Linked DNA regions of Lepisosteus oculatus. The protein of the gene in region 1 interacts with the protein of each later gene in a pairwise test. Links are inferred from orthologs where the notes say so. Each region holds a gene or a part of one and is shown in the gene's direction. Other genes may lie near its edges.

Evidence for each region.
Region 2: the proteins of stx16 (region 1) and vamp5 interact in binary tests that used the Homo sapiens proteins (3 or more experiments, as listed by UniProt). The two-hybrid records come from large-scale screens. The link is inferred for Lepisosteus oculatus from reciprocal best matches to the Homo sapiens genes STX16 and VAMP5.
Region 3: the proteins of stx16 (region 1) and napbb interact in binary tests that used the Homo sapiens proteins (3 or more experiments, as listed by UniProt). The two-hybrid records come from large-scale screens. The link is inferred for Lepisosteus oculatus from reciprocal best matches to the Homo sapiens genes STX16 and NAPB.

The regions. Positions count from the first base shown.
Region 1 is NC_090711.1:3,135,887-3,143,017, reverse strand, and holds the start of stx16 (syntaxin-16), read left to right. Parts: upstream 1-4,130; 5' UTR 4,131-4,516; coding exon 4,517-4,645; intron 4,646-7,131. UniProt on the Homo sapiens protein: SNARE involved in vesicular transport from the late endosomes to the trans-Golgi network.
Region 2 is NC_090697.1:68,593,086-68,600,651, forward strand, and holds the start of vamp5 (vesicle-associated membrane protein 5), read left to right. Parts: upstream 1-4,546; 5' UTR 4,547-5,035; coding exon 5,036-5,038; intron 5,039-7,566. Other genes in the region: vesicle-associated membrane protein 8-like, read left to right, coding at 1-88. UniProt on the Homo sapiens protein: May participate in trafficking events that are associated with myogenesis, such as myoblast fusion and/or GLUT4 trafficking.
Region 3 is NC_090697.1:40,421,381-40,428,408, reverse strand, and holds the start of napbb (beta-soluble NSF attachment protein), read left to right. Parts: upstream 1-4,008; 5' UTR 4,009-4,117; coding exon 4,118-4,215; intron 4,216-5,555; exon of another isoform or gene 5,556-5,581; coding exon of another isoform or gene 5,582-5,640; intron 5,641-7,028. UniProt on the Homo sapiens protein: Required for vesicular transport between the endoplasmic reticulum and the Golgi apparatus.

The DNA.
Region 1 (7,131 bases):
CTGGTTTATTACCTCCCTCACACATGCCTGGCAGTCTAGGATTCTGTACTCATCTCTGGCGCCCTCTGCAGGCCAGCATGCTCTCCTCCTGGGCCTGGATGACGGCAGCAGCCCAGGCTCTTGGGCACAGTGCTCGGGAAAACAAGGATCACTCCCAAGGGGAGCCGGCAGGAGCCTCCCTCAACACCAGCTCGCATGCCGCACGCCCCCGCCCCCCCAGACCGCGCTGGGCACGCTGCCCTCCCCACCAGCACCAGCACCAGAGTGAAGCCGCACCGCTCGTCGACAGCTGGGCGGAGAGAGCCCTGGTGAGGCGGTCCAGAAACAGCAAGACCCAGAAGCGCCCGACCCAAATTAAAACCACGGATCCAGGCGAGGGTGGAATTCCGCAGCATCCACCAGGCCCTTACAGTACGGAGGGAAGGGACGAGGTCGGGGGGGGGGGGAGATCTGGAAGAGAACGGGGTCCCCGAGAGGCTGACGGGCTGAGATGTCTGAAAGGCGGAGATGCCCCGCCACTGCATTCAGAGAGCGCTTTTGGTTCCGGCCAAAAGAAAACACGTGCTGCTCCGTTCTTTTCGTTAGCGCTCTTAACGCAGGTGGGCGCAGGAAATGTTCCTTTCGAAAGGCCTTGTGAAACCATGTGCTTCACTCTAAGGCGCGGGGTATAGGCATACACCTATAGGGGGTGGAGCACAGGTGCTCACGGATGAGGGGTGGAGGTAAATAAACCTTTTCTTATTCCTTTGCAGCCTGCGCATGGTGACGCGGCTCCCCACATGAACTACTTCAGGTGACAGATTAGTAGGGTATCAGTCACGATGTTTGATGCCCATCTGCGTTCATAAACAAATTACAGCACATAAATACCAAAAGACAGGTTATTGCACTGTATACCTGCCTTCTAAAAGTGATCTCTTACGATGTGCCTATTCTGAATAATTTCCCTTCCCTGGAGCGTCAGGGATTTTTAATTTTGTAGGTCCCTTTATTTAATTTAATGGTATATTTTTCTATCGACGAACTTCTATTTTTTATCGCATGTTTCTGTATTATACCCTTTATCTGTAGTGCACTGTCTAGGACATTACTAGACCACATCCTACACAAAGAATCGCGATTATTATTCATCGCGATTTTTGCCTTTCTGTGCCTTGGAAATGAAATCGTGAAATTCCTTCGCCGAGTCGAGCACCGCGTCACCGTGACCTGGAGGGGCGTGCGGGCAGGGACCGGGGCGCGCCACGGGGTCTCGCCGTCTGCTCTCCAGTCCCTGGGGTCAGGGGGTCAGCTCCGCCAGCCCAGGGGCCATTAATCTGTCTGGGACCCCTCTGAAGTCGGGGCGACAGCGCCGAGCGTTTGATCAGCTGCTGCAGTGAGCGGGGAGGGGAACAGACAGCACTGCGATTGACCGAGTGCTCTGTCACGTTACACTAATAATACCAGCGCTAACGGCGGCTTTACTGCAACTGCTCTGCTCCTGCAATTATCAGCACTTTTTCCCGTCCCCTTACTTTAACTTCTGGAATTGTTATTACTCCTGAAGAGCGCTACTCCTCTTGACATGGTTCTACTGCAATTCAGGCTCTTTCTTTTCTTCCTGTTACTATTACAAAAGAATAACATTTTTTGTTTGAAATCCCTCACCCCCCAAAAAACAAATAACTCTACCTGTTAGCGCCATTAGACTGCAACTGCTTGACAGCAGGATCTGCGCCTGTGGCTGGAAGGTTGCCGGTTCAACTCCCGCGGCCGGCAGAGGAATCCTACTCCGTCGGGCCCCTGAGCAAGGCCCTTCACCCCAACTGCTCCAGGGGTGCTGTACAATGGCTGACCCTGCGCTCTGACCCCCAGCTTCTCTCTCCCTGTCCGTGTGTCTCATGGAGGGCAAGCTGGGGTATGCGAAAAAGACAAAATTCCTAATGCAAGAAATTGTATATGGCTAACAAAGTGATCTTATTTATTTCATTTTCCTGCCTGGGGTGTTATCACCTCACTGAAGTGCGGAGGTAGTTGTTGTTCTTGATTGCTCTATAGCCTGGAAGGGAGACGCGAGCGCTTCCCAGATGAAGCGTGCTCTGGAGGCGACAGGCCTGCCGGATGTGCTGTGGCGCAGCGGGCGGGTGCGCGCACTGGTGTCGGGCTGGGATCAGATCCCTGTGAAGGGTGCTCCTCTCGGGAACCCGCGCACGGGCATGTACGAAGGGTTGCGAACGACAGATCGCCGGGACCGATCGCTTTTCTCTCCATCGCGCATTTCTTCCGAGATCCCAGAGGATCGGTGGCAGAAACACGTCTGGGCGGTTTGTTTCAGACACGCGCAACGCTTTTGTGTAGAGACTTGTACTTGTGTCTTTAGATCCTTCACCTGTCGGAAAATTATCCTGCATCTGCTGTCACTCCGCTGCATCCAGGATTTCAGGTGCTTCTGTAGAACTCCTCAGATATGTCTCCATTCAGCAATAAAGATATTTAATCCCATGACATCCCTTGCAGCCGAGACCCGTTTTAACCACAACGCTCACACAGTATTGAACAGAATCCCCCCCCCCCACGATGTTTGCTTCATTCATCACACTGTCCAGATCACGGCGTTGAAAAGACCCACGAAGAACCGCGCTAAATCAATTCTGCAATTTGCATTCCTCCGCGCATCACTTTCCAGTTTTATGCGATTCCTTCATAGATCCACAAACACGCATCAATTTATTTCAAGCCAACGCTGCAACTGACTTTAAAAAAAAGGCATTCAAAAACAAAAGAACTTGTTTGTTCAATAGGTGTATCTAAAGGTTAATTGTGTGATTAGTACTAGAAAGTATAAACACTGTCCCAAAGATTTACACAGGTGCCGGTAAACATCAGCATTGTGTGCGAAGGGTTTAATTCCTGAAGAACTGGGCGATCATCGGTGATTGCACATTTCTTCCTTCATCGTTATGTTTGAAAGGCAGAGACGGCGTTAGCCGGGCGCGTTGTTCAATACATTTTAGAAAAGTAGATCTTCTCCGCCCTCTAGCGTCCGACATGTGTAATGTAGGAATAACGGACATCCACGCCACTAGATGGCGCTCTGTCGGTTGATTGCTGTCTCCAGTACTTGGAAACTTTTTGGAGAGCTGCTTTATGAGCCTCGACACAGCTTCTGTTGTTGTTCCAAGGACGCATTCAAAATTCAATATGGTTTCTCTTTCACCTGTAGCGTTCAGCTTTATTTATTTATTTTTTTGCTATTGATAGTGTAACGTGACATTTTCTCACATAGATAATCGAACATTTTTATGATTTAGTTAATCTAGGAATACATAATTTAATCCTTCCAGGGGGTGCTGTTTAAAATGGGGTTTTGTCCACAGCCACTCCAGGTGTTTTTCCTGGAGCAGCTCACGTGTGAAGGACCTTACTCACGGGTACAACAGCCATCTCTCAGCGTGGATTCGAACCCACAGCCTCCCTGGTACGAATCCTGAACCCTAAAGACTGCTTCTGATGTAAGCCCAGATACTCATTTTACATGCCAAACTGTTTTGCTAGCAGCCTGTTTACCCTGCAACTTCCAGCTGGCAGCCCACTGAAGCTCAGCAGGTGTGAACCTGGTCAGTACCTGGATGGGAGACCTCCTGGGGAAACTGCTGGAAGAGGTGTTAGTGGGGCCAGCAGGGGGCGCTCACCCTGCAGTGTGTGTGGGTCCTGATGCCCCAGAACAGTGATGGGGACACTATACTGTAAGAAACTTTCCTTCAGATGAGATATAAAACCGAGGTTCTGACTGTCTGTGGTCATTAAAAATCCCAGGTTGTCCTGTCCAAATCTTCCATCGGCACCAGCCAGGAGGGGCTGCACACTGGTGGTGGTAGTGGGATTCCCCATTGCCTGTAAAGCGCTTTGAGTGGAGTGTCCAGAAAAGCGCTATATAAGTGTGAGGATGCATTGCTCTGCAGTGCACTGCTTTCATGCTACGGACAGGACAGGTCACACACACCCTGCTGGGTGACCCTGCGCTTGTGTCTACTACAGTTACTATACGGTATGGCCCTCAGTGTGGCGGAAACAGACGAAACCTCCTCCGAGAATTACCGAGGCGAAGAAAAAATCGGTTGTGGCACATAAACCTGGACTGTGCCGTGCCTGTTTCCTGCGGAAGCCCGCAGCGGAGGAGACGGGGACAGAGACAGGAAGTGGAGTGGTTTGCGCACTAGTGGTGTTGACGTTTCGTCCTGCGTGTGTTAGAGTTAGCGCCCGCGATGCTCTCCGACTAGACCGCAGCATTTCATATCCTCGCTGCTTGGCTCGGCCTCCCCCGTATTGAGCTGGGGAGGGGAGGGGGGAATCATGGCAGTCTAGAGACGGCCTCCCAGTTGTCCTCGGCGAGGCTGGAGGGGGCTGTTCTCCTGTCCGTGTCGGCTTTCCGGCAAGCCCGTCTCGGGGTTAGCTCCTACAGTATCTGAGCCAGCCTCCTGCTCCGCGGCTGCCTGTGCTTTTCGGCTCGCAGGTTTTAATTACTGTGCGCGGAGCCATGGCAACCAGGCGTCTGACTGATGCCTTTTTGCTAATGCGGAACAATGCCATCCAAAACCGACAAATATTGGCTGAGCAAGTGAGTACTTTCGACCCCCGTCATTTGAACACGCGTAGCAATGCTGCGGTGAGTCTCCTCATCCTGACCGTTTGACATTTGAGTTTGTTTTTGTTTCCCCCGTGTGTGGCGGCTTCTTTATTTTGACATTTTATTTCCTACGTGTCGTGGGGGATGCATGTGAAAGAACGGGCATGAGGGCGCGGATCTTGTTGCGTGTTAAGTGTGTGTTGGCTTTTTACGCCTCGGCCCCTGCGGCTGGTAACCATTGCTAACGTAAGCGCCGTACAGTACGTTGCACGTTTGCAAGTGTGTGTGTGTGTTGGGGCCTCCTTCAGGCTGGCGATTAACACCCGTCTCTCGTCTGCATGTTTTCACCCCGAAACCGGGGGTTCTGTCTAGTGACGCTCGGCAGCCTCTGTAGCGTAGCCGTTTTGCAAAAGGCTGCAGTCCACCGTGAAGCTGAACCCCTGGACAGACTATACGGCACTATACTGTCCCCTGGCCTCCAGGTTTGTGGTGTCCCTCGCTAAACGAGGCCGTAATGCAGACCTGCCCCGGCGCTCCCTTCAACCTGTCGACGTGTAGGCCCGTCGTGGCCCCGGCGAATGAAGTCCGGCGCCTTTTTGGGGTATCCTGAATATAGGGAAAGTCGTGCTACTTCCTCAGTCCCGTCTCCTTGGAGACGTTTAGTGCCGTGAAGCGGGGAAGTGCAGATCCCGGGAGATCACAAGTTTCCTGACGGAAGAGCAGGTGTTAGTGTAGCTCTTAAACAGCTGTCGGTAATAAAATGGCATGTGTGGTTCAGCACATGACTGGATCAAAACTGCTACTCAGAGAAGGCGGTAATGTGTAAGGTGTTTGGGTTTATACACTTCGGCTTTGCAGTCAAAAGTCTGAAGTTGACAGGAGATGAACCTACGTACACTGTACCCTGTGCAGTCCTGCGATGCTTCTTGTGATGTTGCCTGGGTTGTTGGTTTCCTTGCCTGTGCTGCATGTTGCCTGGACTGGTGTTGTGTTTCTTGCACAGCGTGCTACACAGTGAGCTCTGTGCATGCCTGGCTTGGCCTGCACTGTGCCCTTGATTGCTGGCGTGATACGATGCCCCTTTGTGCTTGTATTGTGGTGGTCTGCTCTGCCAGCAGCTCCCTGCTGCTGGATGGCACACAGTGTCTGTCTCCCATTGCTTTGCCTCTCTACTCCGACAGTTTTGTGCTCCCCGACAGTGAGAGAGACTGATGAAAGACTTGTTTATCGTCTTGTGCTCTGATGCTGTTGCCTCCCGTATCCGTGCGCGGAGTACAGATTCTGTCCTCTGTCCATTCTCCTTCCCTCCCCGTTCTGGGCCTGTGATATTGGTTTGGTCTCCTCGCATGGGGCACAGCCTCTCCTGCAGTGCTGTTTTGTCTACAAAGCAGGTCCCCAAACAAGAAAATATCGGCAGCTCTTTTAATTTCTTTAATTTGCTGTCGCGGGTCTCAATGTTCACAGAGCTGTGGTCCAGATCGCGTGCTGTGGGCTTAAGGGACCTGCCTGTGCTCGTTCTCGGCCATCTGTCTGAACCAACAGGCATTTGAAATGCCGTGTCTCCTGCTCCATAATGGAATTCATAAGGATGCATGCTGAGCAGCTCCTCCATTCGCCTTCCCCTCCTGCAACTCTTCGCAGAGCGGGGTCAAGGTCTTTGGTCGGGCAGTTTCACCAGCTGACTTCGCCACAGTGTGCTTTATTGTGAAAGTCGACTGCGCATTCCCACAATGTGCTGAGGAGCTCAGAGCACCAATTGGGGTGGGGAGGGAGAGCTAAGTAACTTAGTGAGCCTTCTCGAATGGCAAGGTCAGCTTTTCTAAATTAGAGCCAAAAACATGCTGAGCAGAGGATGACTATAAAATGTGACCACTCTCCGTAGTTCCCGTTTTGATGTCAGCTGCATAAATGGGTCCTGCGGTATTGTAGCATGGCAGTGAGTCAGACTGACAGGCCGTTCTCGCTGTTGCTCCGAGGGAGGCTGCTTGTGTCTGTTCTGTGGCGTCCAGGCCTCTCATCAGTAATGAGGTGGGAGGCCACAGGCAGACCCTATCTGTGCAGTCTGCTTTCTCATCATGCCTGAATTTAATACAAAGGCACAGGCCGACACATGCTTGCCCTCCTGTTATTTCCATTCTGACCTGCTTTCCTAAAGCCGAGCTCTTAATGGCTCCTTCCTGAGATTAATTGAGTTTCCTTTCTCATGGACATTTTTCCCACTTCTGTACAGCACGTACAGCGATGAAGATGAAATTGTTGTTGACCTCTTTGAAAGACTGGTAGCAGGAATATTCATGTAATGGGGTAGACTCAACCAGAAAGACAGTGATTGTTTTGAAGGGGGACGTCAGTTTTATTGTCGTTGTGAGGGAGGCTGATTCTCTTGTCGATCTTGGCCTTATTTCTGGATTATTTGCCGATAAAGGCCGGACAGAGGCAGCATCTGGTTTTTGGAGTTTGATTGACATGCTTTGAAAACCCTCTGTCATTGAAACAGGCTCCACCAATATAAGCAGAATAAACAG
Region 2 (7,566 bases), on another chromosome or scaffold:
CGTTGTTGTCGTTGTCATCATCATCCTCATCATCATCCTGTTGGCCACGGGGGTCATCCCCACCTCGAGCTCCAAACCTTCTCCCTGAGTCCTCACTGCCTGTACGGCCTGGAGGTTTTTCTCACTCCACACACACACGCCATGTCCCTCCGAGCTCCCCACTAACCTCTGGCCACTTGTCTTTTTTTGTTTGTTTGACAGAGGAGTGAGCTGAAGTATTTGAAATTGTGATAATTGAAAAGGAAAAGGGAGTGAGCCATTTTCTCTGTAAATGGTGCACCCCTGTACTCCTACTCAACCTGTGTGTGCCCCTTGATTTACACAATCTAACACATCCCTGCCCCCCCTTGCATCTCAGACAGGTTCGATGATGACTGCTCAGTCTGGAGCTGACCTGCCTGCTGTATGCCACCTGTACTAACACATCAGTTCACTAGAGGGCATTATATCCTCCAATTTGGAACTCACCCATTTTGATGTAGGAGTTTTTTTGCCATTATGTTTCCTCCCTTATTTATTTAACCACATTTATATATACAGGTAGGACTATTCAAGTACTGTGTGTACATCACAGACCATTACAAATACTCACAACTTGGTTATATGAATATTTTTTTCTGAAGTAAGCAAGATCATTAATTCAGATCTTACAGACTTAAGAATTATTGTATACATGTCAGTGTATATATATATTTTTTTCTTGGGTAAACAGATATAGAGTTTACTATAGTATTAGTTTGTGCAAATGTTATGAAAATTCATTTTCACAGTGTTTTCCCAGACATTCTGTAGGCATGCATGCCTGCACCGTGATTAAGAAAACCAGTTCTGTTTTCTGGAAGGAACCTTTTTTTAGCTAGGAGAACAATGTTACAAGAATGTCCCTGAGCCTGAGTAATTTTGCTCAGGCTCACAACTGGACATATTAGTTTAAATTACATTTATAGTCAACAAATGTTGGCAGTTACCTGGGCAGTGTCCTAATCAAAGTTTGATTGTAGAGAAATATACTTCAAAAATCTGTCCACCTAAGTTACATGGACAGAGGGTCTTTAATAACGAATAGTTAGAGGTGGCACTTTAATGTTACACATAAGCTGGAATCTGGGAAGCAATGTGTTTTTTCCCATTCCAAATATGGAAAAGTCGCTTTGCATTATGAACTAATAATGTATACCTTTTCCATTTATTCCTACCCTAAAATGGCTGTTTAGGACTAACTTTATGTCTTTTTCTGCCTTCATTATATTCTAATTCGGTGGTGATTTACTTAACCGTACAGTACTTCAGGAGTTGAAGAGTGAACAGTAACCTGTAAATTATTAGCTGCACCTTATCAAAGTGAAGTATTTCAATTCATATCAACAGACTACTGCTGCTTGAGCTATAGTCTGTTTCTCCTGTTTGCACCAGAGTTGTCTAGGTTTCTGGGTCCACTTTCAACTTGTTCAAAGGTAAGGTGTGGCACTCAGTTTTGGAACCAGGTTTTTTACCCAAGATATTTTTGAATAAAAAAATAAATTTTCTTGGCTATTGTTCTACCATCATGCCAGAAATGGTATTTTAACTGTTTTGATAAGAACTTCTAAAGATACATCACCAGCAGAAGTGCTGCAATGACTGTTTGACATTAGAGTTGAAATGGTGAGATGGAACCTGTGATGCTAGTTCTGAGTAACCAAGCGATATCTAACACTTGTATATTGTTAATGTTATGTTACTCCACTGTCTGTTCATTGCAGAAATAATTATAAGATACCTCCTATAACCCTGTTACTGGCCATGTGCACAAAAACTTTCTTTAAGAGATTTTTTAATGCTTTGAATCATTAAATGCATTTTTTCTCTCATTTGTGTCTCTGGGTTAAAATCTGTTCAATTAAAGAATTTATTTTAGGATGTAAAAAAAAATATTTTAGAACAGTTAGTGTTCTGAAAAGAAATGAAAAATGTAACCCTTGAAAACTGTGCCCTGGGTTTAATTAAAGTGAACAGAATCGAATGCATGTTGAATTATATGCAATGAGATTTGTCAATCTTTGGGTGATCCATCCACAGAGTCCACAATAGAAAGTTATTGTGTGTGTGCAATATGTAGCCGTAAGCTACATGTTGTGTGCAATATGGGAATAGCTCGCTTCAGTAATATTGATGATTTAGAACAGCTGGGTTAAAATTGTCAGTATTCCTCCCAAATTTCAGTTAAGAATATTAATTTACTATGTGTTAAGATATAATTATTTATCAAATATATTTTCCTCATTGTGTATAATTAATTCTTTTCTCGAAGTAGGCTATGTAAAATCTTTCACAGTAATTGCAAGGACTGTACTCGCACATTACAAAAGCCAAGGAATTAATTTACAGTAACTGGCTGCAAAAAGATTCAAGTCAGCTGCCATGGGTCTTCCAGGGCAGTCTAAGCCAAAGTGCGCATTACTCTTTGTATGGTGTGTGTGTCCTAAGGAAAGTTATGAGAGTCATCATAGGTCAAAGGGTACAGCTTTCTTTGCAAGAAAACCAACATCACCAAAATGAACCTCTTCACTGGAAATTTGATCTCGAACAGCCGTTTTCCCACAGGCTGTTCTCAGGTTGATTTAAGTAGCCAATAAGATTTGTGAGATTTGGTTAACAAATTAACTTGTTCTCATTAAGCAAATAGGCTAATACTGGGTTTTGGGGTGTTATGCAATTAACTCAATTTAAACTTGAGAAGATGCATAACCCTAAACATACTGTGATTCTCCAATGAGGCAGTAAAGTAGTTAACTTAGACAATCAAACTGTACATATTCTTAATAACTTTTTATCCGTATACTGTGTGTAGAAAAATTAAAATGGTAGAACAGGTAAGATAGTTTTATTTTGATTATTTTCCTGCATGTATTAAACTAGAATAAGACTGTCAATGCTTCATCAGCATATCATATAATCAAAGCCATGCAACACAACTATAAAATCTTCATAGGTTAAAAATGGCATTTTAAAGATATTTTGAAGTGTCGGTTCCAAATTAGAAACCACTCATTTCATCTACTAATGCCACCGAAAGCTAGTGATGTGGTGTAGTCATTCATGTTAGAAATGAATGACTGAGGGTGACGTCGGCAGTACCGGTAATTAATCACAAGAGGGAGACATTAAATGTAAACATCAAGACTGAAGTTACTGATTCTTTAAAGAATGAAATCTATAAAATAGTTGAGCAATTCTGAACTAAAATTAAGTGGAAAAAATATTTATTTTTCCTGTCTCCGTTTTGGTCTGTCCCTTATCTTCTGTTCTAAATATGCAACTACTGTATTGCAGAAAGGGGAAAGGTTAATTAAATTGCGTTATCAACAAGACTTCTGTGATTTTATTTGCTAATCTTTTGCAACTCTCTTGGACGATAGCACTCGACATCTCTGTGGTTCGCAACGGAGGAACTAACAAATATTAGCTTAAACACATGTCTGTTTTGCTTCCGTGGTTAAATCCAGGCCTTTGTCATTAGGTTTTACCATTTCAGAGTTTAAGGAAGTCATGCCTGCAGGTGTTCAAATGAAGAGCTGTGTAATTTAAAGATAGCACTACTAGTAACTGCTGAGAGGAACTGAATCAAGAATCACTTCGTTTTCCGGTTGTCTTCAAGCTTTTCTATACGAAATAGTTATAAGTGAGGTGAATTTTATTGAAGGTGATATATATCTCACTAAATTAAACTTGCCGGTGCAAAGCATAACACTTTAGCACAACACAGCTCATGTAGTTAATTGTGAATGACTACAGTGCATCTAGTTACTGTATGTGTACATGACTAATCCTAGTTCAGTACATGTGACTACTGTCCATTTAGTCGTGTGTACATAACTACAGTCCTATAGTACTTCATTGTAGATGACTACAGTCCTTGCAGTTATTTTTACATGTATGTACTAGTTCTGTACATATGATTGAGTGGTCAGTAAGGAAGGACCACATGCACAAACACCTCTGAAACTCGCTTATCTGCACTGATGATGAAACTAGTGATGGCAGAAGCGGAAGTAATTGTGGGGGCTTCAGGAAAGATTTTGTTTGCATACGTAGAAAAAATATCTATGGGCCAGCACCTCACAGTGCAAACAAGACAATGACCCAGGCAATGTGATCGAGTACCAAACAGTTCATCGGGATAAAACGTAGAAATTCTTAAACTGGCCAAATCCAGGATAAAATGTTTGCCTGGAGTGATCCCAAAATAAAACGTATGTTGTCTTTACGAATTATATTAATCTCACCTACGATACTGCCCTAATAATTCTGGAGGGAACTGTATGTACATTAGTCAGTATCGGTTCACTATCTAATTTATTATACTTTATTTCAGATTACATATTATTATTATTTCAGATTACAAACATACAGATTTACTAGCATTGTTTATATAAAAATATATAATATAGTATCATATATATAATATTGCTGCTGTGGCTTCACCGCTCTAGAGACACTAAGGGAAATTAGGGCGGACTTTTTTTCAAACCACAATGTATGACTTGAGTTTTTTCCAGTTTTTTTCTCCACGGCTTTTGACAGCCAGGAACTGCTGAGCAGTTTCTGACCGACAAAGCGAAGGAAGAAAAAACAACTTCCACATCCCGAAGTCTCGAAAACAGCTGCCTCGCGTTTTTTTTTCTCTTCTTCTACTTCTTCTCGAGACACATCTGTGTCTTAAATACACTTTTTGCCGACCCCTGAGTAAAATATAAACGTAAAAACCAGTCTCCGCAGGCCTCCACCCCCAGTCTTGTGGGTGGTGTTTTGAATGCCAGTCATCCAGAGATAGGGAGAAAGAGAAAGGACACGGTGGAAGCGAAAGGGCCTAAGGACGAATTCGTCGAGGGACGTAGAGCTGAGGTTGAAGTGTGTTCATCAAAAAATAAACTTGAACAATAGCAGAAGGTTGTTGTTTTTTTTCCCTTTCCTCCGGGAGCGACTTTGGACGCAACCCGACTTCGTCGTAGGCTGACGTTTTTTGTTCCATTCAGGCAGGAATAGGACTGTCAGAATGGTAAGTAGCCTACAAAGAAGAAAATAGTACAAAACCCCTCAGATCTCTTGTCCAGGCTTTGATAGTGTGTGTATTGGCGATCAGCCCAATTTCCGTTGCCCATTGCAGTTCCTTAAAGCTCCGTTTTTGGGCCGCTCTTTGTTTTTGAACTATGTTATGGTTCGCTGTGCTTTTACTTTCATTAGCTACAGGCCTCGCTGTTTGGGCTGAAATACTGTTTGATAAATGCTGTAAATATACTCGCGAAAATATCATTTCGGACACGCACCCTGTTAAATGTATAGATAAAGCTGAAATATACGGGGACTTGCAAGGGAATAAAGTTGAAAAGAATCGCAAAGCCTGACTTTTGAAAGTCAAACGTTGTTACACAAAACGGAATGCAGTTTTTTTTTTAATTTGGCATTTGTAAGTGGGTCCCTGCTGTCGCACACGCCCCTGTTTCGGTCTCGAGGTGAAGCAACCGTGTTTTTCCATTCTTGAAAATGACCCATATCAGTGTAAACACTGCAAACCAAGGTACAAAGTTTTGTGTCAGTTTATCTGTACGCAGCGAAAAGGGGAAGACGTAATAAATTAAAGAGACAAACACCACATGGCGAAAACTGATGTTCAGTAACCTGCGGTTGCTTTTCTGTCCGATTTCTTAGGGTGTCCTTTTAAAAAGTTAAAGCGTTCAGCGGTCCAGTTCTGTATCCCCGTATTATCCCGCATCCCACTGTTTTCTCAAAGTGAACTCGGTGGCTTTACTGCCTTTAAAATGCACCAAAGTTGATGTAATAACCTCCGAAAATGGTGATGCATGTATCCGCGATCATCTTTGTGGTTGCACACATTAATACAATTAATGGAAGACATTTAAACACGTTTTCCATCAGATAGCTGCAATGCCTGGCTTTCTACTCTAGGTGGCGCCAAAGAATTACAGCCTTTGAGGATTCAGGTCCACGCGAGTGGCCTCAAAATGACCAGAGCAGAGATAACCTTCCAGGCGGTTCCTTATAGACCTTGAAACCTGAGTGAACATCAGAAACGGGTTAATAAAACGTGACTACCTGTAATTTGTAGGAAAAAAACAACTACACAGGCTGGGTTCATCTGTGCATGCAGTTTATACAAGCGCGTTCAAAAAAAGTCACAGACGAACGGTAAATGAAAGAAACAAAGTAAGGCATATACTTTGAAATGGTTTTACGGGCTCTAATTAACACGGTCCTGGGCGTGCCTATCTCATTTAACATGAAGTAGTCCAAAATTAGTGATAATCAAGAGTCTGGAACTCTTGCTTTAAGATAGAAAAGTACTATTATGACCAACTGTGCTTGTAGCTCTAGGGATTACAAGGACTGGAGAATTGCTCATGTAAAACCAATCCCACTGAACCAAGTAATTATAGACCAATAAGTCTGACTGTTAAATATAAGATGGTTATGGAAACAATTATTAGAACTAAACTTGAGGATAACCTATTTGGAAATAATATCTTAGGAGTTAGTCAACACGGATAGAATTATTTTACCAAACAACAAGTGTAATACACACACAGGGCATATGATACATTGTATTTAGAGTTTCAGAAGACTTTTGATAGTTTGTCAAACTAATTAATTTATAAATTGCAGACGATGGCCATTGGGTTGACAATTAGTCATTAAAGAGAAAACAGAAGGTACTACAGATAGCGAGGGATATTACAACTGGGGTGATGTAATTTAGTTCTTCTTCTCCACAATTTGTGGAAGCAAAAAAGCAAACAAAGCTAACAGTTTAAACTTTTTTAAATGTTAAAATTGTATAATGTGCTTGTAAGGCCTCATTTATAATGCAGTGTACAATTCTGGTCATCCTGTTACAGCAAAGATATTCTGTTCTGGGGCTGAAGGCAGTGTTCTGAAGGAGCTGAAGCTTTTTAATGTGGAGAAGACCACAAGGATGATAACACTGTATCATTGATAAAAGTATTCAAAATCCTCAAAGGCATTGACAATATCAACCAAGTCAATTTATTCAGAAAGAACAGTGAAACTCAAACCACTGGACACAGAAGCCGTTACTCTTGCTTCTTTCAAGAAATGGCTGGATGAGGTGCTTGGATCAATTAGCTACTAATTACCAATCAATGCAGATGAGCTTGATTGAAAAACATTCTTAGGCTCTCATCTGCCTGTGGTGATTTGATAACATTTCCTGTGCGGTGTGGCTGGTAGTTCTTCTGGTAAGAACAGCCTGCTTCCCAGAAAGGCATCAGACTTGTTCCAACAAGCAACTGTGTAAGAAGAATGCATTATTACATGTTATGTTTTAGACTTGATATTTTTATCTGTTGGAAAAGAATATTAAGTCAGGCATTGCCAATAAAGCTTTAAACTTTTGCTACTGTGTGCTAGAAGGGTGTCCATTCCTGACCCCAAAGAAATCATGCCCAGCAGGTCTTCTGGATAGGACCTGGAATTTTTCTTCACCACCTGATCTTCAGGACTCCTACCCTGTAGTTCATTTATTGGCTTGTAGGTGTTCGTGTAGGCACA
Region 3 (7,028 bases), on another chromosome or scaffold:
TGTATGTTCCCCTCGTGTTTGTGTGAATTTTTGCCAGGCGCTCCGATTTCCTCCAGGTGTCTAAAGACAAACTTAGGTTAATTGAATTAATCCAAGGTGTATTCCCAACATCGGATTGGTCCCTGTATAGAGGTAAAGCAGATAGAAAATGGTTGGATGGATGTCACACATGACCATATCTCTAAATTAAAGGCATATGCAATAATCCATGCAACCGCATTTAATATTTCAGAGACCTATCATGCGTGTTGTCACTGTTGGCGTATAGTAACAATCCACATACTTCAATGGAAAAATATACTTAAATGTTTCCTCCAAAATTTCCCTAACGATCTGCACATTTATGCCTAGTGTCATTTTTAAAATAAAATTATTAGTACATTGGAAGTTGGAAATGTTTTAACCTTTATTATTTTTTATATAGTGTTTTGTTTTAACCGTGTACAAGGTTTTAAGGAAATGCTATCGTCGAAGGACAAGTCAGAAGGTAGCTTGCTGTTGCCACCTGGTGGAAAATATCAGTATCACAAAAGGCTTTTTCCACTTTACCTATCACAACTAAAAATACTTAAAAATAGGGGTGTTATTATAATTTACAATTAAATATCACTTAATTTGTTTAGGACATTTGTTTACTATGCAAGCAAATTCGATCAATATTAATTTCACCCCTACAGTCAGGGAATACTTTGTATATTCTTTGTATATTACTGTGTTACTATGCTTCCCTATAGAACACACATAATGTTCCACAGCTAGAGACAGATATTTACAGGTCTAGCCTTCATCAGACACTGAAAACATAGAGCTTTCTCTGAAACAGAGAGGCAAACAACTTAAAAAGGCAAAAAGGGAACCTTCATCCTTTGAAATAAAAGGATCCCATTCAGGACTAATTATCGCTCTAGAACAAATACTGTAAAAAAGGAAATTTTCATATTCAGAATCTTGCATAACTCCATAATGAGAAATGTCTCTTAGCCTGTGAATTCTATAAATAAAATAAAACAACAAGTAACATTTTTAAGGCAGAACTGGACATGTTCTGGTCTCTTGGTCTGTAGGAGGATGTTTCTCTCTCATGTCCCACTTGCAGCTCTCTCCAGTGTTAATTTCTCCAGTCTTCCTATTCTTTTCTGCCTCTTCCCTGTTTACAGTGTTCAATTTATCGTGGTTTAAGGCCTAATCTGACTATTGTCCCCTCAGGACAATTCCAGATCACCCAGATGGCTTCTTGTACCTCCAGCAACTTTATTTACTGTATCTATTGTAGTAAATGCCCAGCCATCTACATTGGAGAAACAGGAAGGAGACTTGGAGACCACTTCAGAGCACATGTAAGGGCTGTGAAGATTAAAGATCTCTCCAAGCCCATTGTTTCCCATTTCACCTCTGACGGCCATGACCACTCTAATCTCTCCGTCTGTGTTCTCAAAGACGGTTTTCCGAACTCAAACATCAGAAAGACTACAGAAACCAAAATTATCCTGCAGCTAGGATCACACTTTCCCCCTTCCCTTAATGACAGACTACTTTTCTTCTAAATTTTCTCCATTCATTGGAGGTTTCATTTCACACCTCTCGACACCTATTCTGACTTCACACCTCTTGATTGGCCTCTCTTTCTGTCTCCTGCTCCCGCCTCTCGCTCCTCCTCTCTCCCAGCCTTTGTTCTTCCGCTACATTACCTTTGCTTACTACCTTGTCTTTCTCAAACCTGAAGAAGGCTCCACGGCCGAAAACGTGTTTTCTTTCTTCTTTTTTTCAGCATGGAATAAACCTATTACTTGTTCCTCAAAGGCCTCTTTTGTGGAATAGTGTTAGATAGTGCTACTTCACTGTTATCACTATAAGAAACATATGTGTCTCATACATAGTATGTGTCTAATCTGCAAATTTCATGTACTTAGTTTCCACACAGACCTGGAAAAAAACAATAATTTTAACAAGATAAAAGGCTGTCTAGATTAAAACCAAACCTGCATGATAACAACCTAAATATAAAGCACTGAATGGTGAAGATCATTAAGTTGTAGTACACTGTGGTCTTGTGGCTTACTGCATAAAAAAATAAAACACTTTAAGTTTTCCAGTAGTTTTTACTGTAAGTATCCATTGAATTTAAAGGTGTAGAACAAATAATTTAAACATTCAATATTAGGCTAATAGAGAACCCATTTCTAATACTTAATTAGTGATTAGCATTCAAGTTATTTTGCACACATACCTCCAGGTACTTTGCACTAGTGGCTATTCCAATGTGCATAGTCTCTTACCTAAATCTTTCCATTAATGAAACTGGTGAAGCAATTTCTCAGCTATCTGGGTTATAGCTGTATTGAGGGACTGTTGGTGTCATAATGGCTTATGTGTGACCACCCAATTTGGTTATGCATTAATGGTGAATGAAGCAAGTCCCCATCTGCACGTAAAACACTTTGGAACATCCTTTTGGATGAAAAAGCACTATATTCATGCAACTAATTAAGTATGCCTTCTTCCCTGAAAGGAGCAGAGTGAGATTTTGCTCCATTCCTCCCTATAACAATATTGTATATCAGATCTTGTAATAAATGAATGAATAGGAAACCCTAAAGTAAAAAAAGAGCTTTTCCTGCTCTATTAAATCCTACTACATTATTAAATTAATTAAGAAAAGGCTATAAGAACCCAGATACATTTTCAGCACCAACTGAATCTGAATCAGAATAACTTTTATTCACCAGTACGTGTCAGGTACAGGAATGTGCCTTTGCACATTTGGAACCTGCTCAACTCAAAACCCACACAGGTGCAAAACCAGCATCAATATTACTGACATAATTACATTAGACTATATACAAAAGATGGGGAGACACAAAAATAGTCACAATATGTGCTCACAGTACAGTACAGATGTGTGAAACAAGTAGACATTACAGTATATATAATACACAAGTTCACATTTTACAGTACAGTGCAAATGTACAAACAATAGAATACAAAGGAACAAGTAGAGGTTTATCCCATGCTGAAAGAGAAGAGAGAAAACAACGTTTCAGCTGTGGAGCCTTCTTCAAAAGGCTCCACGGCTGAAACATTGTGTTTTCTCTCTTCTCTGTTCAGCATGGAATAAACCTATAACTTTTTCGTTTGCAGACTACACATATTTATGCAGCTACGCACCTGAACCAAACAATAGAATATGTTTGTTCCATAAAATATCACATTATTCTAGAACATATATATGCCCATAGAGAATTGATTATATCTGTTACCTAATACAACCAGTAAATGTACAAATATGTGGATTTTTAATTAAGCAAAATGTGTAGGCCAATAAAATATAACATATTCTGTAAACAAAGCAAAATGGTTCTTACTTACGTAAGTAATATTTTACTGTTAGGAAAGATGTTTAAGTTACGCAAATATAGTAGCACTAAAGCCTATTTTTTAAAATCGTGAACAGTTAAACAGTTTACCTTGAACAAAAAAGAAAAAGAACAGTACTATTAAGTTTGTTTCAAAGGCATAGAAATCTATCATATTTTCGTAGAACGTTCTCAAAATAATGCAATACTATTTATATAAAATACTGTGAAATTCAAGTGTTTCAAAATAGATGTTTAAGAAATTTGTGAATGACTGTCATTGTATGCATTATTATTTATTATGTATTACGAACAAAGTTCTGAAAATAGAGTATATAAAACCCAAGCGTTCGTTTTTATTTTCAGAATAAGGTCACTGCATCTGACTTGGTTTAATGAAAAGAGATGTTCAGTTACACTCTCCAAAACCAAATATTGAAGTAAATTAATCAAACATTCAAACACCGTGCTACAGTATATCACGTACTGTAGAACCACGCACATAATCCCTACTTTTTCAGTGGAGAGACTGAATCCGGTGATCCGCAGAACAAGTTGATGTGCTTCTTGGGACAAGTAGTTCTTTTGCAAATATGTTGTGCAATTATTGAAGATGAACAAACTACATATCCCAAACTGCCATTCGGCGGATGAACCACACCGGTGCTGGTAGTAAATAAAATCATTGACTGTTATCTACGGCCACCAGAGGCTGATGCGTTAGTATTTGAGAATTGTTGATTAAAACACATATATTAATAAAAATGGACAACACCGGCAAAGAAAAGGAAGCCATTCAACTTATGGCTGAAGCAGATAAGAAAGTGAAATCCTCCCACTCGTTCTTGGGGGGTATGTTTGGGTAAGCAGCATTTTACTGACAGTACGTTTAAGTGGGGGTGGGGTACGTTTTTAATTTTTTTTTTCCTTTTAAAAATGGAAGACATCTGCACTTACTTTCTGAAATAAATATGTTGCCATTTTTTCCCCTTTTAGAAAGGCGTACAGAGCTCATTGGAGTTTTTTCGTGTATTTGAAATGTTAATCTGCCAAAGGCCTTCTCTGTGGAATTATTGCAACTCCTCCCATGGCCATCGAGTTCACATCAAGTTATATAAATATGACCAAAAGAAGGGGATTTGTTATCTTATATCCCCATGTAAAACCCGAGTGTTTTTTTTTATTTATAACTTTACGAAATTTGATTGTAGGATTTTTGGGATTATGAGAGAATATAGATGCCAACTGATTTTCAGCATTGTGGAACCCAAGGCAGTCCCACCTTCATGACACATCTTTAAGTTGTATGATAAAGCTGCTTTTCTTTTTGAAACAATAATACAAGTGACATCTCCATTTTTTAAATCTTATCAAAGCATTGCATATACCCCGTTTGAAATTACGTAACTGTAGACCTAAATCATATATATGTAGGAAAGCTAATTCGAGTTGCTGCATTTCAGCGATTCTCCGAAATCAAATGCTAGTGAATGATTTCTTTTTCAAATGCTTTAAAGGACAATTTAGAAAACGTCATATTAATGTGTTAAAATAAACCGCAAATCATAATTACGAAGTTTGACAGTTATTTAACAGTTTAAAATAAGATACGCTTATAGGAATATACCGATAACTCAGGGCCGAGTCTGTTTTAGCTTATGGCCGAGACAAATGTACTCTCCAAGGAGTAGTTGTTTTTAACTAATAGTACTATGCGTTAGCAGAATGTACATTGAATACTATTTTCAATACGTGAATCAAAATTGGATTTTAGAGATGACATTATAGCATTCTGATATTTTTGATGAAAGAATAACAAAATATAATGTAAACAATTATATAATGATTTATTAATGTAGTCAGAGAATGCATTGTAGAACAAAATATGTAATTTACAAAACTATCACAATCACACCAAGTCACACAGTTCTTAAAACGTGATTAGCTCTCTGGTGCAAGCGACACGCATAATACTGTAACCCCTTGGTTATGCGCTTCTGGGAAGTGGAGTTTTTTGCCCTTCTCATCCGCTTATTTTGTAAATTTATTTCGATGTTGGCATAAACTACATTTCCCGCGGCGCCTTGCGGTCAACGGGTCGGATCGGATTGTATCCACATCAAATAGCCAAAAAATTGAAACCTTTACAAGACGCATATTGAGTTTGTATATTTGTCCATCCCTACAAAATGGACATTTCAGGAAAAGAGAACGAAGCCATTCATCTTATGGCTGAAGCTGACAAGAAAGTGAAATCCTCTCATTCCTTTCTGGGGGGTATGTTTGGGTAAGCGGCATTTTATGGAAATCCTTGCAGTGTTATATATTCGTAATAAACATTGATTTAGCCTGGGGTCGTGCGGAGAATTTATTCAGCGACAGTAATGTTACTCAGCAGTTTCTGTAGTGGTTGTGTAGTTTGATACTGTGGTGTTACAATACTGATTAGAAATATATAGTTTTTCTTTGGATATTGAAAACAACGGGCTTTTAAAATGTGATGCTTATCAGGCCTGCCTTCCTTGTTTTTCAGATTGCCCTGCATGACCCTGACAGAAAAGGTGTGCACCATTGCTGTAGATTCAGATTTAAAGATGCTGGCTTAATATGGCTAAAATACATTTCCTAGTCTGTTGATAGGCGTTTTTTGCATGAATAATAAAATGGAAATTTACATTTTTGGGGATATGTATTGTTTTTGCTTCACTGTTAAATGTCACATGAACGTTTTTGTAGCTCTTTGCAGTTTGTGTTTTTCCACTTTATTCAGATCTGGGATCTGACAAACAAAGAATAGCTAACATTTTAATACATTTAGATTGCCCATACAGATATCTAATGAATTTGTAGTGACAGAAAAACATTTTTTAAACATAACTATATATTATAAATCCTTTAGATGCCTGCAAATGCTACACAAAATCGAGCATTTAAATAATTTTTATGTTTTCAGAACTGCAATATGTTTTAGAGTTCTTGAACTGCTAATTCATTAGTTGAGGTCTTCAGGTTCTCACATGGCTTAATTTACATCTCAATGTTTAATGCAGGGAGGCAGTTGTTCTAAAAGTAGTGTATTTGTTGTTACAATCCACACAAAAGACGCCTCCGCTTCAGGTAGTCTCAGTACATGTATAAGTTCATAATCGTGCAATGTTTCCAATTTTTAATATGAAGCACGAAGCTATGAAATAGTTTTCTGCAGCCTCTGTATAATTTTGAAAACGGTAAGCTAGGTACTGACTGCAGCCCTCCTAAAACAGTCACATCTGAATATCAGTGGGGCTCCTATATCTGGCTTTGAGTTTTGCTCCAGCAGCAGCACTGCAGTTTAATGCAGTTATTGTCCTTATTATGTTACCACAGCTTCCCCTAGTAAAAAAAATAGATTTTGAAGTCCATGTGTATAAAGCCACTCCTGTAAGTATATTAATTTAAAGACACACTTAGATTTTCACTGCTTGTGATTCTTCTCGGCATCAAAAATATTTTAAATTAATGCTTTTTCAGTGCTTTAGACAACCAGTGTTTTCTTAAAGTTGATGACTATATATGGAAGAGTAAAAACGCAGTACTGGTCTGCTGCCTCACTCCAGAAAAAAGGGCTGCCCATTTTAGCTTGTTTGGTTGCTAGTGGATACCCTAATTATTTCAGGGGTCAGTGGAACTGTCGTG